2 linked regions of the Coturnix japonica genome follow. The protein of the gene in region 2 binds, or shares a complex with, the protein of the main gene of each other region. Links are inferred from orthologs where the notes say so. Each region holds a gene or a part of one and is shown on either strand. Other genes may lie near its edges.

Region 1 (4,397 bases), on a different chromosome or scaffold from region 2:
TGCTTTCCATTGCATTACAACAGTACCACATTAAAATGGCAGAATATTCATTTCTCTGTCAAATAGACTGGATGCCATTACGTACTTCAAGCTGAATCACAAGATGAGTTAGAACTGTGAATATTTTAAGACCGCCAACTTAAAGCTAGCTTTTTCTCATTAACTACAGTATAGCAATTGGATTTCATAAGGACAAGACTGGAGCATCTTTCTAGCCTGAATGTAAACACTCCCATGCCAACCTACTATGTTTCATCAAAATGGTGCTGGACTTTTTTCCCTCCCATTTTCCTCCCTCCCAGTTGACTCTTTTTCTCATTGAGTAGCATGAAGTTTGAGTTTCAAGCTTAACTTTTGAAGGGTAAAGCACTTTGGGTGAAGGAGGGGAGAAAAATAAAAGAGGAAACACACATGATGGAGATTCTTCAAACCGAGTGCAGACATTCGTTGTCTTGGAGCTTTCTGTTAACAGCTCTTCATCTTCTTCCTGTTCTGTTCTACGATGGCGATAGCTGAAAGTGCAGAAAAGAAGATTTGTTCAGAACGATTCCAAAATTTAATTGGTCTGCAATACACGTGAGCACCTAAAGAAGCTTCTTGCAAGAGAACTCTTAAGGTAAGCTGATGAATTGAAATAATTTAGTTCTTTAGATCAAGAGCTTCTTAATGATAGGATGCCTCACATTGTGAACAAGGTCATGTGTTAGGGCAAAGTGACTAGAAAGGGCTAAAACACAAAAGACACTGCACACCAGTACTGGTCTGGAACTACAAGGCAAGAAATGACACCTGTGATTCAAGGTTCTGCAACATATGCCAGAAGCTGCAGGAGTAGTGCAGACATACACGCTGCCATGAAGGCAATCCACTTTTGTGGATGTGATTTCCAAGGTGCCTCTAGGACACACAGTGTTACCTGTGAACTCTTACAAATTACAGCCAAGACTGCTTTACTCTTCTGCCCCAGCTTTCCTTGGTACTGGAATACTTTAAATTGCGATAGTACTTTGCCATCACAGATTCCTTGTAACTCCTAGAATTCTTTGACAATTTACAAGTGGGTAGTTGGGGGGAAAAAAACACCACAATTGTACAGTGTAAAACACCTCCAAACAGGACAAAGGCTGACAGTGTTAACTTACGCTTCTAAAGCACAATAAAATCCTTAATTACAGTACAAGCTGGTCTACATGTCATCACTCACTCGCCAACTGACAGCAAGTTCTGCTTTTCATCCTTCTTTATTCGCGGACGTCCTGGTTTCATTTTCAAAGGTGAAGTAGGAGTTTTCTGAGCAGCAGGCTGAATGAAGTGAGCAAACAGCTCAGTCTGCTTCAACAGATACTCAAATCTGTTTGCTCTGTCTGTTTGCTGTTGATAAGGGAAATTAAGCAGAAGTGTGAGACGTTACAATATGCATTCATTTAAAAGACAACAAATGCTTTTTGAACAATACAGATTCCTGTATCTTCAAATACATAGCTATGATAACAAAAAAGAGATGATTAATTTCAGCAATGTAGCTGTTGCTGACAGATTCTTTCACTAAGTCAAGGCCAGCTGCTGCTACATGTTAGGATCAAAGCTGTCAAACGAACCTGCATTAAGACTGAAATCTGACTGGCACTAAGAGCATGTGAGTGTCACCAAGCAAAGCAGTAGAGCCCCTTTAACAACCTCCTCCCAGCAAAAATTATGGTCCTATTCCAAGAGATGTACACCCATCCAACACGCACAGGATTCTTCATCAAACTCATTCGCCTCACCCACCTGGCAACAACCATTCTCTTTTCTACCACATTAGCATCCTGGCTGCTTAGTGAGATAATGACCACCGTGTAGTGTCAGATAAGTATTACAATTGGCATGAAAAAGGGCTGGGGATAGCAGAAAAGCCCATGGCTAAAGCCAGTAAACCAATTTCAGCAACGAAGAGCTGTTACATATGCTCAGCCTAAGATGACTGAGTACACCCTTTGCTCACCATCTTTGCTGAACAAATAAAGATGACAGGAGACAATACCTAAAAGGTTTAGGTCCTTTGAGACAGGTTCTTTTTAGAATTAACGTCTCTTCCAAGTATCCTGAGTTTGCAGGAACTCGAGAATAGGCAATTGAGACAGAAGACAGCTCCAAGCTTAAAAGCAACCACTCAGACCTTCTGCCAGCTGCCACAACATAACCTGGTATTTAGCAACATACAGTTATAGGAAGTCACATTTCTTGGTAAAAAGGAACATGCTCCAGACTTTGGCAAGAACAGTGCCAGCCCTCTGTATATTCAACTCTTGAAACAGATCCTGTGCTACATGAAAGACAGAAAGATGGGATGAGAGGAGATGAGACAATAAAATCCTTTCTGTGCTACAGAGGAGTTAGAGACACTCTAACCACAGTTATAGCTTGACTGACACAGCTCAATTCCACAGCCAATGAACGGTTTCTGTTTATTCCTCAAAGATCATTTCTGTTTATTACTGTTTCTAAACTAGCTGGGATCTTATTGTCTTATTTGCCTTATTGCCAACCCTTATTTGTTTCACTGGGAGCACAAAAGATAAGAAATACAAACTGCATTCGAGAAGCTTCCTTGTTCTAACATGTTAGCAAGGAAATAGCCATAATTTTTGGCAGAGCACAAATACACCACAACCATTTTCAAGGTGCTTCAGGTAACAAGATAACAAACGTTGTCTGTGTCTTTAAGGCAGGACACAGACAGTAGGTTGCACTACACAATCTTGAGCTATTCTTCTACCAACAGAGATAGAAACTTCTCCTGTTTTCTTTTGCAGTGCATCTTCTGACTGTTTTTACAGTAAAATACGATCTTCCTTAACAGTGTGCCTATTTAGAGCCTGGATGAGACAAACCCAAGTTTGCCTTCTTCTAGGAAGTAGCACAAACAATTCAGCAGAAGACTGGGTTATTTTCAGTGCTAAGAAGAAACACAGGAAGTAGCAGATTACAAGAATCAGTTTCGCTTTGCTATAAAGAAATTCCACATGTAGTCACAGGCATTAGGGATCTCTGGGATTAGGAGCAGGAAAACAGGAAGGAACAGAGAAAGAAAATGTGATACAACGGTAAGGAGTGGAAGGTTGCATCTCCTACAGTTGGGATATCGTGAAAGGAAACAAAGGATGTTTCCTCCTATCTAATCTGAGACATGGAACTACCTGTTTTCAAGTTTAAGGAATCTAAACTGAAGCTTCATAAGGAACAAATTGGGTTTCTGAAAAGCTAATAAAATCCCTTTCAGTCTAAACAATGTGAAAGGGCTGAAGAGCTGGAGAAGGCTTACAGTCAGCACCACTCACACTTCACAGCAAACCTCTTCTCAGCCTCCTGTGTATTTTCAAAGCTGGCTTTTATTTACTTTGCTCATATACTGCACTGCTTGAAAGAAACTCCCTACTCTGAAGTGCCCCCACCAGAGTACATTTCAACTGAGAATGAACACAGTGACTCCTCAAAGCCTTATGCCCTCCCTCCCTTTTTTAAAACTGATTTTCCTCTCCTCACATTAAAATTAATGTACTTTTCCTACAGAGGACTCTACTCCTGCAGTTCAAAAACAAAACTGGAATTATTTTCCTGTGCTAAACAGTGACACGTGAAAGATCCTAGCCTTCAAATGATGCCATATACTGAAGAAACTGAAGTAGCAGCCATCTAGGAACCAACAGATCCTTCTGACTGAGACATTGAATGCTAAACTCTTTGCCCTCCTCCTTGTCTACAACTCTCTACTCAACATCAAAAGCAATGTGACCAATTCCTTTTCATTACGCTTTTTAAGTTTAAGACACTGGAATAATTCTCATTACACGATTCTTGTAAGCCTTCTTGTACGCACTTCAAAGCTTCTCCGACAATGTTTCCAAGAACACCAAAACACGTTCATAGTTATTCCCACAGAACACCACAGGGAAACACCAAACAAAATGCTGTGGGGTTTTCTTGTGTGTGTATGTATGTGTGGGGAGGGGGGCAGAGAGGAAGGGGTTGTTTGTTTTAAATTACTGAGATATTTCTGAATGACCCAACAAAGGTTTACAAAGCCAGATTTCAAAAGAGCAGAACACTAAGTCCATTCTGACAAGTGCTTAAGACAGGACAGCTGTATGGATTTCTCAGTGTTACATACCATTTTCTCTTCATATGTAGGATCTGCTTCAGAGATTTCTTTTGGTTTTCCTGGTGATGCATCATTAAAAGATTCCTAATAGGAGAAAAAATTAAAAAAAACTTATTTCCGGAATAAGAAAACATACCTATATAGAAAAGAATAAGCTCGCTGCAAATTACCATCTATCCACATCAGCCGGCACATCCACCTTTTGCTGCTCTGATGCAGTTAGCCTCCTGTTACTGTAATGTGACCCGGGGCTGGA
Region 2 (4,397 bases):
AAAGTTAAACTTTAACTCAAGATACAGAGCATAAAACAACAAATGGTACACAAACCCCATTCCGTGTGAGTATTGTTGTGGTGGTAAATGTATTACGTTCAGATCCCAGTCGCAGTTGTTCTTTGAAAGGAGGGGGAAGGTGCTATCAGTTTTCTGGGATTTCTTGCTTTTTTAAATGAAGCCCTTTTACAATGTGACACTGGAAGATCTGGGAGGTGTGTCCAGATTTGTCAAACTTATAAATGGGTCCTTACGATAAAGCATTTTAAACATTACTTAGGTATGCAGTAGTTGTTTATAGTCAGATAACTACTAGGATGTAGCAGCTTGCACAAGGTAATGTTTTGAATATAAATATCTTTCCAAAGTGTTACTAATGGTAAAGAGATAATTTTCTAGGCTTCTATTCTGCTGCTTGAAGTCAGAACTGCTGATGGAGACAAAGGCACGAAAGTGTACGTATTCCGGATTAGCAACCCAGGAACCCATCACTTCTGAAGACTCTTAACTGTGTTGTCATTCTATCATTTATATCTGCTTTAAAATATTTGTTTGAAACTGCAGTAGTTACGTTTGTGTTCAAACAGGTTAAATTGATCAGCAAACTGAATAAACGTAAGATACACGTAATTTTAAAAATTTTCAATCAAAAAGTAAAATTAAATGATCATGGAATAAAATAATATTAGAGCAGGACTATAGAAAAAGTTGGTAGATTCTGCTTACCCTGTACTCATTGTGCTCCATTCCTGTTGCTGTTCTCTTCTACAGGAGGGAAGACACCAGACCCTAAAATGAATGCCAGAACGTACATGGATGTTATGCGTGAACAGCATTTAACAAAAGAAGAGGTGAGTTGGGGGTGGGGTTTGCTTGTGAACTTGGTTTCATTCTGCTGCCTGAGAAATGGCCATAGGAGCAGTGGGAATGGAAATTCTGTTGAATCGTTCAGTTTTTTTCCTTTGTAAATGTTGAACCGTGATGGTGGACCTTATGGATGGTAGCTTTGAACAACGTCTGTTCCACATCATACCAAAAGAACGAAGGGAGGAATGCTGTCGGTGTATGTTACTTTGGATTGTTCTGTAGCTCTCGGGTTGTCTGTTTTCTTTCAGAGGTGAAGAAGTGGAACCTGAGAGATATAGAGAGGTGTTTTGTGTTGGAGGGATTTGTTTTTGTGAGCTTTATATAAAGAGAATCCAGGGGGGTTTTAATAGGCTTTTGTTGCAGTAGCAACAGCTGGTTAACATTTGGCTTAAAACTTGAAAGGAGAAAATTGAGTAAAACCACCTATTAATAGTTACTAAAAATTCAATATAGTAGTTTGAAAGATATTGGTAATATAATAAGATTTCTTCTGTCATACCTACAGAGCAGGTTAATTGGAGAAAGATTTTAGAGCTCCATTGACCTTTGTTGGTTTATACTGATTTACTCAAATCGACAGCGGTTGAGGAAATAGTTTCCCGTTTTGGTAGCCTTACTGTATGAACTAATTGATAAATCAGAAATAGTCTGTGAGTGTGGTGTTTCAACAGTGTCATTTTGGAATTCTAAATGAGAACTCATGGCTTTTTTAATGTCTCAGCATATAACTCGTGTGAGTTTATTTTCTAATTCTCTTTAATAATTTACTGAGGTGGAATTCACTTGAAACAGGCTAGTAGTAGTTCTTAGGTATTCATATGGGAAATAGAAACCGACAGCACTAAAGCATTCTGTACAGTTGTATTTCTGCTATACTATGAACTTGGGTAGCAAATGAATTTAAACGTAGTCCCTCCAAACACGTAGCCCTGTTGCTATGGAAGAATTTGAAATTAGAGTGGCTAATGACATGTTATTTGGACGTAAAAAGATAACTGATACAACTGAAAATACTCTTAATATTAAATCTAATTTGTAGAGGCCTTCTTATGAAATAATTTATCTTTTTGTGTTGTTGAATAGAGGGAGATTAGGCAGCAGCTAGCTGAAAAAGCTAAAGCTGGAGAGCTTAAAGTCGTCAATGGAGCCGCGTCTCAGCCACCTTCAAAGCGCAAGCGGCGTTGGGATCAAACAGCTGATCAGACTCCTGGTGCAACACCTAAGAAGTTATCCAGTTGGGATCAAGCAGAGGTAATAATCCCATGTCCATCAGTTTGTATGTAGCAGATATTAATGCCAATCCACATGAAATTCAGGCTTCTTACTCTGACACGTACGCGCTGTAAAGGAATAAAAACAGCATTCTTTTAGTGCATAGAGGAGAGAGGTTAATACTTAGGCTTTTGTCTTGTGTAGACTCCTGGACATACACCATCCCTGCGGTGGGATGAAACTCCAGGCCGTGCAAAGGGTAGTGAAACTCCCGGTGCCACCCCTGGCTCAAAGATATGGGATCCCACTCCCAGTCACACGCCAGCAGGAGCCGCAACGCCTGGACGGGACACACCTGGTCATGCAACACCAGGCCATGGAGGTGCCACTTCCAGCGCACGTAAAAATCGGTGGGATGAAACTCCTAAAACAGAACGAGGTATGTATGGCGAATTGGAGAGCGTCTAAGAAGTTTTGAATGGCAAATACTGTAGGAGTTTTTCACCTTACGTGAGCAATAGAAGCAAACAAACAGCAGGAAGTGATTACATTCTGACATCTAGTGGCTGATGTGATGTTTTTATCTGAGTTTGTGTAGCACTGAATTCTGTCAGCTTAACCCACTTGTATGCTTTTTGATTCATGTAAGAATGAGGATGAGATAATAAAAATGGAATTGGATGTTTTTGCTGTAGTTGGAGTATAGTACTGTTCAGTTTTCTACAAGAACTGTGTTGTTTTATTTTAGATACTCCGGGACATGGCAGTGGATGGGCTGAGACTCCACGTACTGATAGAGGTGGTGATTCCATTGGCGAGACACCAACCCCAGGAGCAAGTAAAAGAAAGTCCCGATGGGATGAAACACCTGCTAGCCAGATGGGTGGCAGCACTCCTGTTCTGACACCTGGCAAAACACCCATTGGAACACCAGCTATGAACATGGCAACTCCTACGCCAGGTAAGCCCAATCTGTTCTCTAAGGCTTCACTTTTTTATATGAAAATGAGGCTCCAACATTTATATTGTATACTGAAATAGACTTTTACCTTGTGTACAGTTCTCATATACTAACTATACAGTTAGTATGTGTTCAATTTACCTATTTTAATGCCCATAGGAGCTAAGGCTGATGTCTGTGTTCAGTCTAGATAGTAAAGACATGTCATATTTGCTAGTGTGGAAAGTTTTGCTCAAGAAGACACTTGAAGTAAATCTATCTTCTGTTTATGGAAGTTATTAAAAAAAACATTTTGATTTTAATATAGGTCATATCATGAGCATGACTCCTGAACAGCTGCAGGCTTGGCGTTGGGAGAGGGAAATCGATGAGAGAAACAGACCACTTTCTGATGAAGAATTGGATGCTATGTTCCCTGAAGGATATAAGGTAATTAATTAGGGTGAGGCTGCTGCAGCAGACTGATAGTTTTCTTTTGTCAGGAGATATTGATTAAAAAAGAAAAAAAATAAATCCAACATGTATTTCAGAGTGTTTCATAGAAGCTGTTGATTAATTCATGTAGAAATTGGTTTGGTTTGGTTGCTCATTTATTATAAATCCATTAGAAAGTGAGAAATTAATGTTTATTTCAATGGCCAGTTCTTATTTTGCTTCTCAGCCTTAAGAATGTCTGCTGAGTTCAGAAAGAAAGCGCAAATGTGGAATGACAGGAGAGGGTGACAGATTCTGACTTCATAAATATACAGTGTTGATACAAATATTGAAGGTGGGGTTGGAGGTTAAGTTTAGAAACTTAAATAGTTTCTAAAGACTTGTTAAGTCCATTACCCAAGCCCTCTTCTGAAATACTGTCAATAGAGAATAAGCATGAATATGAACTATCCTGCTGAATTTGTGAATTAAATCACTGTATGTGGGATCTGATGTATGCAGTAACACACAAATCTATGGAGGGCTAAAAACTTATGTTCTGTTTTATTTCTGTTCTGCATTTGGGACCTTGCTCAATTTGCATCTGTTGTGGTAAGATGAGCCTTGAAGGCTGTGAAGGTTCTTTACATTAGTTCTCTGGTGCAGTTTTTAGCATATTTCCTTCTTTCTTCTGCAGGTTCTTCCCCCACCAGCTGGTTATGTACCTATTCGTACTCCAGCACGTAAACTTACGGCAACTCCCACACCTTTGGGTGGTATGACTGGATTCCACATGCAGACAGAGGACCGGACTATGAAGAGTGTCAATGACCAGCCTTCTGGCAACCTTCCATTCCTGAAGCCAGATGATATCCAGTATTTTGATAAGCTGCTGGTAAATGATATTTCACTTGTGCTGATTAAAGTTTTCTGATCTTTTGAG

The links. The genes of interacting proteins can lie anywhere in the genome.
Region 1: SF3B1 (region 2) and SMARCA5 share a complex: the UniProt entries of both Homo sapiens proteins name them as parts of the B-WICH complex. The link is inferred for Coturnix japonica from reciprocal best matches to the Homo sapiens genes SF3B1 and SMARCA5.

Annotation. Positions count from the first base shown.
Region 1 is NC_029519.1:26,874,091-26,878,487, reverse strand, and holds part of SMARCA5 (SWI/SNF-related matrix-associated actin-dependent regulator of chromatin subfamily A member 5), read right to left. Parts: intron 4,330-4,397; exon of another isoform or gene 4,315-4,329; coding exon of another isoform or gene 4,312-4,314; intron 4,226-4,311; coding exon 4,151-4,225; intron 1,372-4,150; coding exon 1,205-1,371; intron 513-1,204; coding exon 412-512; intron 1-411. UniProt on the Homo sapiens protein: ATPase that possesses intrinsic ATP-dependent nucleosome-remodeling activity.
Region 2 is NC_029522.1:34,675-39,071, forward strand, and holds part of SF3B1 (splicing factor 3B subunit 1), read left to right. Parts: exon of another isoform or gene 1-771; coding exon 772-851; intron 852-1,950; coding exon 1,951-2,118; intron 2,119-2,283; coding exon 2,284-2,518; intron 2,519-2,827; coding exon 2,828-3,040; intron 3,041-3,347; coding exon 3,348-3,469; intron 3,470-4,151; coding exon 4,152-4,349; intron 4,350-4,397. UniProt on the Homo sapiens protein: Component of the 17S U2 SnRNP complex of the spliceosome, a large ribonucleoprotein complex that removes introns from transcribed pre-mRNAs.